Saccharomyces cerevisiae S288C: one gene and its partner. Changing the gene in region 1 together with any one later gene gives a genetic interaction. Each region holds a gene or a part of one and is shown on either strand. Other genes may lie near its edges.

The links.
Region 2: of CYC1 (region 1) and STO1, a mutation in one rescues a mutant of the other (synthetic rescue), as found in Saccharomyces cerevisiae (2 studies listed by BioGRID).

Annotation. Positions count from the first base shown.
Region 1 is NC_001142.9:521,810-529,068, forward strand, and holds CYC1 (cytochrome c), read left to right. Parts: upstream 1-4,525; coding exon 4,526-4,855; downstream 4,856-7,259. Other genes in the region: TAH11 (Tah11p), read left to right, coding at 239-2,053; ANB1 (translation elongation factor eIF-5A), read right to left, coding at 3,099-3,572; UTR1 (NADH/NAD(+) kinase), read right to left, coding at 5,075-6,667; ISY1 (Isy1p), read left to right, coding at 6,888-7,259.
Region 2 is NC_001145.3:515,831-520,946, forward strand, and holds STO1 (Sto1p), read left to right. Parts: upstream 1-1,708; coding exon 1,709-1,733; intron 1,734-2,055; coding exon 2,056-4,616; downstream 4,617-5,116. Other genes in the region: EPO1 (Epo1p), read left to right, coding at 1-1,457; DLT1 (Dlt1p), read right to left, coding at 4,931-5,116. UniProt on the Saccharomyces cerevisiae protein: Component of the CBC complex, which binds co-transcriptionally to the 5'-cap of pre-mRNAs and is involved in maturation, export and degradation of nuclear mRNAs.

The DNA of each region.
Region 1 (7,259 bases):
TTTTATACACCGCACCGTAAGCGGTCACCGGAAAAAGAGGCAGGGGGCGGTGGAACCGGGCCGAAGCCCATGGAAAAGCTCTGCCGTTGTGGGTGATATACAATTATTCAGCGCATCTAAGGCACTAGCTTTAGCACATTGTACCATTGCGATGATGCGGAAGAGTTTAATATAAGCAGATGTTAGTTGCGGTAGTTGGTATCATGACAGTGAGCTGAACTACGTAGCGTCGTGATTTATGAGTGGCACAGCTAATAGTAGGAGGAAGGAGGTTTTGCGCGTGCCTGTGATAGATTTGAATAGAGTTTCAGATGAAGAGCAGCTGTTGCCGGTGGTGAGGGCAATTTTGCTACAGCATGACACCTTTCTGTTAAAAAATTATGCTAACAAGGCTGTTCTAGATGCACTACTAGCGGGGCTCACGACAAAGGACCTGCCTGACACGAGTCAAGGTTTTGATGCGAACTTTACGGGTACATTACCGCTAGAAGATGATGTTTGGCTGGAGCAGTACATATTTGACACTGATCCTCAATTACGCTTCGATCGGAAGTGCAGGAATGAGTCACTGTGCTCCATATATAGTAGGCTGTTCAAACTGGGTCTGTTTTTCGCCCAACTGTGTGTGAAAAGTGTGGTTTCTAGCGCAGAATTGCAAGACTGTATCAGCACCTCTCATTATGCGACTAAGCTGACCCGTTATTTCAATGATAATGGTAGTACACACGATGGTGCAGATGCAGGTGCTACCGTGCTGCCCACTGGCGACGATTTCCAGTACCTGTTTGAAAGGGACTATGTTACTTTTCTTCCGACGGGCGTGTTGACCATCTTCCCCTGTGCCAAGGCTATAAGGTACAAGCCATCGACTATGGCGACGACGGACAATTCTTGGGTGAGTATTGATGAACCCGATTGTCTTCTGTTCCACACGGGGACCCTCCTTGCGCGCTGGTCTCAAGGTATGCACACTACCTCACCACTCCAGATAGATCCTCGTGCGAACATTGTTTCGTTGACCATCTGGCCTCCACTTACTACGCCAATCTCGAGTAAAGGAGAGGGTACGATTGCCAATCATTTGTTGGAGCAACAAATTAAGGCTTTCCCAAAAGTCGCTCAGCAATACTACCCACGGGAGCTTAGTATTCTAAGACTCCAAGACGCAATGAAGTTTGTTAAGGAGTTGTTTACTGTTTGCGAGACTGTATTGTCTTTAAACGCTCTTTCCAGATCCACGGGCGTCCCACCAGAGCTGCACGTTTTGTTACCCCAGATATCCAGCATGATGAAAAGGAAAATAGTGCAGGATGATATTTTGAAGTTATTGACCATTTGGTCTGATGCATACGTAGTGGAACTGAACTCTAGAGGGGAGCTGACCATGAATCTACCCAAAAGAGACAATCTAACAACGTTGACCAATAAGTCTAGGACTTTGGCATTCGTGGAAAGGGCAGAGTCGTGGTACCAACAAGTGATAGCTTCCAAGGATGAGATTATGACTGATGTACCCGCTTTCAAAATAAATAAAAGAAGGTCCAGCTCTAATTCTAAAACAGTCTTGAGCAGTAAAGTGCAAACGAAGAGCTCTAATGCTAATGCCTTGAATAACTCAAGATATTTGGCGAATAGTAAGGAAAATTTCATGTACAAAGAGAAGATGCCTGATTCGCAAGCAAACCTTATGGACAGACTGCGTGAAAGAGAGAGACGTTCGGCCGCATTGCTTTCTCAAAGGCAAAAACGTTACCAGCAGTTTCTAGCGATGAAAATGACTCAGGTATTTGATATTCTTTTTTCGCTGACCAGGGGCCAGCCTTATACAGAGACATATCTAAGCTCGCTAATCGTAGATAGTTTACAAGATAGTAATAATCCTATCGGTACAAAAGAAGCAAGTGAAATTTTAGCTGGGCTACAAGGTATCCTACCAATGGACATATCTGTTCATCAAGTGGATGGTGGGTTAAAAGTTTATAGATGGAACAGTTTGGATAAAAACAGATTTTCTAAGCTGTTGCAAATCCACAAATCAAAACAACAAGATTGAAGAATATTTTTAGATATAAGGTAGAATACGTACATTTACGGTAAAAAAAAAAAAAAAAGAAAAAAAATTGATCTTGATACATACGTTGGTATTTTACTTTGAAGACTGTGCATTGTGTATGTACGAAAAGAAAGGGAAATAAAAAATAACGACAACTGCAGGACTCGAACCTGCGCGGGCAAAGCCCAAAAGATTTCTAATCTTTCGCCTTAACCACTCGGCCAAGTTGCCTTTAATCTCTTGAGTTTGTTTAAGGACAACACTGTCCACCTGGCATGGGAATATTACCATTATTCCAGATTCGGGCTTGTTATTAGGACTTTTTACCAGCTTGATTTACCGGTCATTACTTATCCTACACATCATACATCACAACTACACTTGGTGAAGAAATCACAGAGCCTTGGATTTGTAACAATTATATGTTTACGCAATTTATCTTGGGAAAGCAGGGCCTCATTTGTGGACATAGCACGGTCTGTCACCCTCGTCGTGCAAAAAATATTTTGACTTCTACTCTTTTTGAAGTTTCGTTGATCGGGTCCCTTCCAAGGAAAAGTCGAATGCTGTCACTGCGCATATAAAGGCGAGAACGATAGTGACTGTGATATTAAGTTATTGTCATCATATAAGTAATTTTTTCTCTGATATCTGTAGCCCTAGTTTTTAATATTTTCGTAAAATGCTCAAAAAAATTTCTGTTTAAATTCTTCTGGGGTATATACACATGTTCCCGTCAGCTAAATTAAAAAGAAGAAGGAACCGAAAGAAGGCAAATTATAAAGTAATCATCCTCGGCATATTGAGGGGAAAATATCCGTCAAAAAAAAAAGTTCTGCACGTCGTCATAAGTGACTATGGTATCAAACACCAATTAACACGAACGTAGCGATAATGAAGGCAACTTCGTAGCTGAAACAGAACGAAGTTAGTTAGGATGAATAATTATGATTATGATTATTATAATATTATATAAAATGTATAAATAAGATTTCTAGATCAAAAAAACATCGCGTATTTTGTAAGCTATAGAAATCTAAAATATCTAATCAGATCTTGGAGCTTCCTTGAAGGAGATGGCAGCTTCTTCACCCATGGCAGAAATGATAGTGACCATCAAATCCTTACCTTCATCGAAAGCAGCTTGCATGCTGTCACCCAATTCACCTTCTGGTGCCTTGACATCGTCTTTGGTTTCACCGTCCATGGTCATCAAGGACAAGTAGCCATCATCAATATCCAACAATTGGTATTCGCTTCTCTTGACAAATGGAACTTCCAAGTTGTGAGTGGATGGAGACAAATCTTCCAACTTCTTACCAGTGAAGATATCAAGGGTAACCAAATGGACCTTGGCGTGACCGTGCTTACCGGTCTTGGAAGTGGACATGTCGACAATCTTACATGGTCTACCTTTGATGACAACGAAACCATTCTTTCTCAAGGCAGAACATTGCATTGGGTAGGTGGCGGAGGCACCAGCGTCAGCATTTTCAAAGGTGTGTTCTTCGTCAGACATGTTTTAGTGTGTGAATGAAATAGGTGTATGTTTTCTTTTTGCTAGACAATAATTAGGAACAAGGTAAGGGAACTAAAGTGTAGAATAAGATTAAAAAAGAAGAACAAGTTGAAAAGGCAAGTTGAAATTTCAAGAAAAAAGTCAATTGAAGTACAGTAAATTGACCTGAATATATCTGAGTTCCGACAACAATGAGTTTACCAAAGAGAACAATGGAATAGGAAACTTTGAACGAAGAAAGGAAAGCAGGAAAGGAAAAAATTTTTAGGCTCGAGAACAATAGGGCGAAAAAACAGGCAACGAACGAACAATGGAAAAACGAAAAAAAAAAAAAAAAACACAGAAAAGAATGCAGAAAGATGTCAACTGAAAAAAAAAAAGGTGAACACAGGAAAAAAAATAAAAAAAAAAAAAAAAAAAGGAGGACGAAACAAAAAAGTGAAAAAAAATGAAAATTTTTTTGGAAAACCAAGAAATGAATTATATTTCCGTGTGAGACGACATCGTCGAATATGATTCAGGGTAACAGTATTGATGTAATCAATTTCCTACCTGAATCTAAAATTCCCGGGAGCAAGATCAAGATGTTTTCACCGATCTTTCCGGTCTCTTTGGCCGGGGTTTACGGACGATGGCAGAAGACCAAAGCGCCAGTTCATTTGGCGAGCGTTGGTTGGTGGATCAAGCCCACGCGTAGGCAATCCTCGAGCAGATCCGCCAGGCGTGTATATATAGCGTGGATGGCCAGGCAACTTTAGTGCTGACACATACAGGCATATATATATGTGTGCGACGACACATGATCATATGGCATGCATGTGCTCTGTATGTATATAAAACTCTTGTTTTCTTCTTTTCTCTAAATATTCTTTCCTTATACATTAGGACCTTTGCAGCATAAATTACTATACTTCTATAGACACACAAACACAAATACACACACTAAATTAATAATGACTGAATTCAAGGCCGGTTCTGCTAAGAAAGGTGCTACACTTTTCAAGACTAGATGTCTACAATGCCACACCGTGGAAAAGGGTGGCCCACATAAGGTTGGTCCAAACTTGCATGGTATCTTTGGCAGACACTCTGGTCAAGCTGAAGGGTATTCGTACACAGATGCCAATATCAAGAAAAACGTGTTGTGGGACGAAAATAACATGTCAGAGTACTTGACTAACCCAAAGAAATATATTCCTGGTACCAAGATGGCCTTTGGTGGGTTGAAGAAGGAAAAAGACAGAAACGACTTAATTACCTACTTGAAAAAAGCCTGTGAGTAAACAGGCCCCTTTTCCTTTGTCGATATCATGTAATTAGTTATGTCACGCTTACATTCACGCCCTCCTCCCACATCCGCTCTAACCGAAAAGGAAGGAGTTAGACAACCTGAAGTCTAGGTCCCTATTTATTTTTTTTAATAGTTATGTTAGTATTAAGAACGTTATTTATATTTCAAATTTTTCTTTTTTTTCTGTACAAACGCGTGTACGCATGTAACATTATACTGAAAACCTTGCTTGAGAAGGTTTTGGGACGCTCGAAGGCTTTAATTTGCAAGCTTCGCAGTTTACACTCTCATCGTCGCTCTCATCATCGCTTCCGTTGTTGTTTTCCTTAGTAGCGTCTGCTTCCAGAGAGTATTTATCTCTTATTACCTCTAAAGGTTCTGCTTGATTTCTGACTTTGTTCGCCTCATGTGCATATTTTTCTTGGTTCTTTTGGGACAAAATATGCGTAAAGGACTTTTGTTGTTCCCTCACATTCCAGTTTAGTTGTCGACTGATACTGTTAATAAACTCATCGGGCGAGGCTTCCACGGTTGGAAAAGCATATGGGCTGGCGCATATGGTTATAAAATCACCTTTTTGCAATTCAATTCTATCTTTCCCATCAAAAGCCGCCCATGCTGGAGCCCTTGACTTCATCGAGACTTTCACTTTTAAATTTATACTTTCTGGTAAGATGATGGGTCTGAAACTCAATGCATGTGGACAAATGGGTGTTAAAGCGATTGCATTGACGGTTGGGCATACCAATGACCCACCTGCACTCAAAGAATAGGCCGTGGACCCAGTCGGAGTAGCAGCAATCAGTCCGTCCGCCTGCGCAACGGTCATTAATGAGCCGTCACCATACAATTCTAACATGGATAGAAAAGGACTTGGACCACGATCGATGGTCACTTCGTTCAAAATGTGGTGTGTGCTTAGTTTTTCCACCACACATATTTTCTTCCCCGTGTTTGGGTCTACTTCAGGGCGGTGTCTACGATAAATTGTGCACTCCAACCTCAACCGTAAATTTGTCTTGATTTTATGATTCATAATCCGAGGTAAATCCTCCCTGAAATGTTCAAACTTAAAATTTGTTAAAAATCCTAGAGACCCTAATGAAAACGACATAACGGGTGGTACATGTCTCTGAAAAATGGAACTTACAAAAAGAACAGTACCGTCGCCACCCAAAGTCACTACCAAATCGAAGAAAACATCATGTTCCCTGATGAAATCCTTTGTCCAATACTTGATCCTTGATTCTCTACATTTACTATCTTCACATAACTCGCCAGCGGCAAATTTTTTGCTGTTTTTCAATTCGGAATCCACATAAACAGTCACACGTGGAAAATGTACCAAAACCCATTCTACCAACTCTCTTGTTAAGAAATACAGTGAGACATCGTTGAGTTTCGTAACAATCATCAAATTTTCCACATCCAGTTCCACTTTGGTATTAGATATATCTTTACTCAACATTCTTACACCATACGCCGTGGAGGCATACTGAAAGTGTGTATTACTACTCTTAGAACTTCCTCTTGTTCCGTTAATGCTCGTACCACCGCCACTGTTTGCATTGCCGTTCACGAGAGATGAATCTTTATTCAACAGGGAGCTTCTGCGCGAGCTGCTTTCACTTGATATTTTCCTCAACATTTCTTTGGCGTTGTCGATATCCTGAGTTCTATCAATTTGCTCATTGTTCATCATGGCCTTCTTCATCAAGTTATTATTGTTGTTATGATGATCATTTCGACCATCTTCCTCATTTACCCATTTATCTACGCCATTATTCATGTCATTCTCCTTCATCTCAAGAGCTTTTACTCTACTTATTTAGGGAGCCTATTGTATTTTTTTTTGGCTTACGATCACGATGTCAATGATCATTTGCCCTATTATACCTTTTTCTCCGTTCTCTTTGCGTAGTGCGGTGAAATAATTTCAGGATGCATGAAAGAGCAAATAAAAGTGACACACCGTTATATCGCAAGGCGCACCACATCAGTAATCAGATACCTGTGCATTCAAAATGAGTAGAAATGTAGATAAGGCCAACTCAGTTCTGGTACGATTTCAAGAGCAGCAAGCAGAGTCGGCAGGTGGATACAAGGATTATTCACGTTACCAGAGGCCCAGGAACGTGTCTAAGGTAAAATCCATAAAAGAGGCCAACGAATGGAAGCGACAAGTAAGTAAAGAGATAAAACAAAAAAGCACAAGAATATATGATCCGTCTTTAAATGAAATGCAGATTGCGGAACTTAACGACGAACTTAATAATCTTTTCAAAGAATGGAAGAGATGGCAGTGGCACATTGACCATACACTTATGGAAAAAAAAACCAAGAGGAAAAGGTTAGAAGACAGTCATGTGCTGATGAATTCAGGAAAGCTGATAAAT
Region 2 (5,116 bases), on another chromosome or scaffold:
TGCCTAACTCTACAAAACAAGGATCTTCACCACTAAAAAAACAAGTGAACATTGATCAACCTATTGAAAACAAGGGAAAACTGAATGTTTTGCAATTATCCACTCCTCAACAAAACGAGTTAAAGGAAAAAGAAAGGAAGCTAGCTGAAATGGAAAAATCTTTACGTGAGAGAGAAGCACTAGTAGAAGAAAAAGAAAAGGAAAGAGCTGAGAAAAATACTGAAGCAAATGAAGAGGAGGAAATTTCACATGAATCAGACGATTTAAATTTAAGACCTGCGAGTGCGCTAGAGACTGGTTTAAAAGATCTTAAATTGGAAAGTGAAAGTGCAGTCGCCAATAGAGCGTCCTTGTCGACTTTCTCATCCACATTTAGTGATTCTCCCTCCAAGCAAAGAATCATCAATACCAGAACAGGTATGTATAAGCTAGAAAACTCTACTGATATCAATGAATACGTGACCGCACAAGAATTCCCCTCTCCCGGAAAGTATAACTCAAATTCGGATAATGGCGAAATGAATACAACGAACGAGGTCGATTTTGATTTCAATACTAGTAAAAGGGCTTCTTTGTTACAATCCATACCGGAAAGAGATCCCAAAAGAAATGTCTCAGATGCTACCATTAAGCGACGTGAATCCGATGGCAATGGCAGGAGACTAAGTAATGTCAACATATCCATGAACCAGGAAAACATCAACAATGATACTTTTCTATATAAAAAAAATAATCGCGATGGTCATTTATCAGCAGTTTCTCATATGTCCAGCTCTTCCCGTAGATCGTTCATCTCCAATACGCTGCCGTTGAATATTGATTCCGCCTCAGAATCTGATAATTTTGTACCGCATATGGATGGTTCACCCTCCAAAACAAAATCAGCCCCAGTTAGCTACGATAAGGATGGCATGAATGCTTCAGAAGAAGACTTCAGTTTTGATAATACTTTAGCCAAACCGTATGAACCGTTATATGCTAGGAGAGGAGACATAACTTCCGCCGGATCAACTAGTGGAGAAGATAGCTCTCAGCCAAAGATGATAACAATATCTGGTGAGCAATTGAATTTGATAACAGAAAACAAAGAATTAATGAATGAGTTGACACTGGTGTCTACAGAATTAGCAGAATCGATAAAAAGGGAAACTGAATTAGAAGAAAGAATACGGCTGTATGAAACCAATAATTCAGCACCATCTTTTGACGATTCTTCGAGTGTGTCTTTTTCTGACTTTGAAAAGGAACTGAGAAAAAAATCCAGTAAAATTGTGCAATTGATCCAGCAATTAAATGACGAGAGATTAAAGAGATTCATTGCGGAGGAGCAGTTATTACTCCAAGAAAATGGCACCAAACCAAGTTCTATGGAACTAGTAGGAAGAATTGAAAACTTGAATAAACTTATTGATGAGAGAGATTCAGAAATTGAAATGCTTAAAGGACGTTTACAGTAGATGAATGATGTATTTTATTGTATATATCGCTTAGTGCACCAAAATCATACTACGTAAGTATAAAATCACTTTACACGTAGAAGATGCTTTTTCAGATTGTTCTTGAAAAAGTTGAAAAAAATATAATTCACACTCAGCAACAGGTGAAAGTGTATAATGGGTAAAAAAGGAAGGACAGAAGGTATATTGCTAATCAAAACGACTTTGGTATACGCGTTTGGGGCTACAATTGCATTTTAAATATATTTAAGATGTTTAATAGAAAAAGAAGAGGAGGTATGTTTTAAAACCAATGTTTTCCAGAAGTTTCGTTCTAGAGTGTGTATATCAAGACCAATTAGGATGGTATTTCCATTTTTTGTCAGTTAGTACGGTGTGACAGAAAAGTGTACTTTTGTGGCACAGAGAAGTGGAGAAACGGTACACGTAGAATACATAACGGCAAGTAACCTCTCTTATTTTACTCTCCATCTTTACTTTGTTTTACATTCCTAGGATTATTAGGTTAGCTTGGTTTTACAAAAACTCAATTATTCAGTTTCATTCAAATTACTAACATACCCAACTTTGACTACCTTGCATATGATTTTACCGTTAGACTTCGATGAAGATGAAAATTACCGTGATTTTAGGCCTCGCATGCCTAAAAGACAGAGAATCCCACCTGTTGTACAACTGTGTAAAGAAATGATGCCCGATATTCGCACTATTGGTGAATCTGTTAAAGCTTTTGAAGATGATATCAAATTCTTGAGTGAAGCTATAATGAATGAGTATGGCCATGAGGACTACTTTAATAATGCTTTACTGAGCACTTTAAACGCTGTTGTTGTGGAGCAACCACAGAAGCAAGCTGCTATCGCTCTCTTAACCATGGTTGTTAATTCGAAAAATAATGTTGCCGGAAAGAGTATTATCAATTACTTCTTCGAAGAATTACAAAAATGGTGCAAGCAAACATATAATGATGAATTCAAGAGTACGTCAAATGAAACTGGGCCATGGAACAAGATCAAGTTAATCCTGAGATTTTTATCCATTCTATCGCCCATGTTTTTAGTTGATGAACTAATCAATATCTACAAGAGCTTATTTGAATTGAGTATCGAATTAAACAATCTGGATCCAGGTAACAGAGTTCCTTTATCTGAAGCAATTTACACCAATACATTATTAAATATCCCGTATTTGTTCTTTTTTAATAGGAATAATGACGGTTTGAGGACAAAAGTGGAGGAGTTACTTGCATACGTTGAACAAAACTATCTAGTTAAAACAACGGATATAAACCTATTAAGAGAATACAATGGTGAACCTCCATATGAAATGGTAGAACTTGTCCGAGTCGTATTACCAAACGTCAAGAAGGCGCTAATCAATAACTTGGAACAGCTGAATGAATTATTTCCTGATTGGAATCATTTATTAACTCCCCAAACCGGTGATGAAGGGTTCAATGACGCTTTAACCCTTCCATCAGTAGATGATCTAAAGTCTTTCGTGCGCTTGAATAAAAACTTTGGTTCAGTTGATAGCATGTGGAAGACACCAAGGTATGCTTTTCATGTTTACTTGCCAAACTCCGCTGGTAATTTCGAAACAGTTGTACCAATCAGCACTTATGCTGGTCAATTATTCAACGATATCATTATTGATCTGGTGGAAAGTTTAGAATTCAATAGAAAGGAAGTAGCTAGACAAGTGATAACTTTGGATCTTTTTTTCAAAGCAGGTATATTTACAGAACCTGGTGAATCTATTGCCCAATTAATTGCCACTTATGAAGAGAACCCATTGGCTCCTACATTTAAGATAGAAGATTTGGCTATTGAAACCATTTTGGGACTTATTTTTAAATTACCTAGTGTTTCCCAGCCTTTTGCATACTTTTACACTTTATTGGTGGATATTTGTCAAAATTCTCCAAAAGCAATTGCTCCTGTCTTTGGTAGAGCCTTTAGGTTTTTTTATAGTCATTTGGATTCATTAGATTTTGAACTAAAATTAAGATATTTGGACTGGTTTTCAATTCAAATGAGCAACTTTAATTTTTCTTGGAAGTGGAATGAATGGGAAGACGATTCGATCAAATTTGGCAAGTATTTTTATAATCCAAAGGTAAATTTTGCTAAAAATTTGATTCAAAAAGAACTACGATTGACCTCTAACTTTTCAGAAGTAGAGGACAGCCTACCACAAGAATTCACGAAATATTTGGATACTTCTTACATTCCAAGAGATCAACTGATTAACTACTATCAATCATTATTCACCGGTTATACGGTAGAAGAAGATTCCGTTAGAAAAAATGATCTATATTTTAGACAAGAAGGTGTACCTATGGAAAACACAGTCCGTAAAATTTTAGATTATACCCACAAAGCAAACAATTCTAGGGAAGTTACTGAATTAGAAAGTATTCTAGGTGAGTTAAAGAATGAGTATGGTTCCATAATTTCCGACTTTAACAGATTTGTTATCATATTGTTAGTCCAGGCCGTTACAGACTCTGGTAGTAGATCTTTATCACATGCTAATAAATATATTAATGATTTAAAAGAAGATCTCAAAACCATATTTGCGAAGATTGAATTGGATATCGAGACAAAAGAGTATATCATAATTGAAGCCGTCCTAACATTTTGGAACGCCAACCCTCAGACAGGTTTCTTAGTAGCAGATGCATTCAAATATGCAGGTTTACTTACTTCCAGAACCATTTTTACATTTATATTTAACGAAACTGGTTTGAAGAATAATGGTTTGATTGAAGCTACAGCAATTGAAGCGGTCTTTAGAAATTTATCTCAACAAATCTCGGAAGAGAACGAAAGTGGAAATAATTTTGAGTTCGTTTTCGAAAGATTATGTACCATCGCCAACAGTACTATAGACTTACTAGATGTCAATGCTGATGAAGATATTGAGATACCTAAAGTCAACGGGGAAATGGACATCGACGATATTGAAGATGATAAACTGGATTTGAAATGGAAATATTTTACAGTGATTGGGTTTATTAAAAGTATATTAAGAAGGTATTCCCACGAATATCGTGAGTTAGCAGACAAATTCATTGCCAACATTGATAACGCTATTCCACACGAATCCACTAGGAGAACAATTTCGAATTGGATTCAAGAAACAAAGGAAGTTTAAAAAGATTCGGAGGATGGACTACATTCGTTATCACTCCGCTTTTTAATTTTTAATCAATGTTACATACCTAGCGTAATTTTCCTATATATAAAATATCAGCTTTATATAAATATATTATTGAAACTGTACCTATAATAATAAATTTAAAATTAAGTAAATACAAATGCTTCAAAATTTGTTAGTATTGTTTTCTTCAATCATCTTTACTTAATTGTCATCGCAATAATTAAATTAATATTTTATTGTTGTTGCGTATATAATACAACCTGAATGGTATGCTACACTATGTTACACTATGCTATTGATCAGAGTTTCTAATGACGAATTACACTTCTATAACTATCCGCTTTGGAAAGTTTGAGACGAAGGGCGTTACAATCAGAATCCGTATCCAAAGGATGTTCTTCAGAATTAGTCAGATCTACACCTGATGAAACATGCCTTGCGACAGTACTTATGCTACTTTCTCTAACCAAATGTGTAGGCGGTTCGGGAAAGTA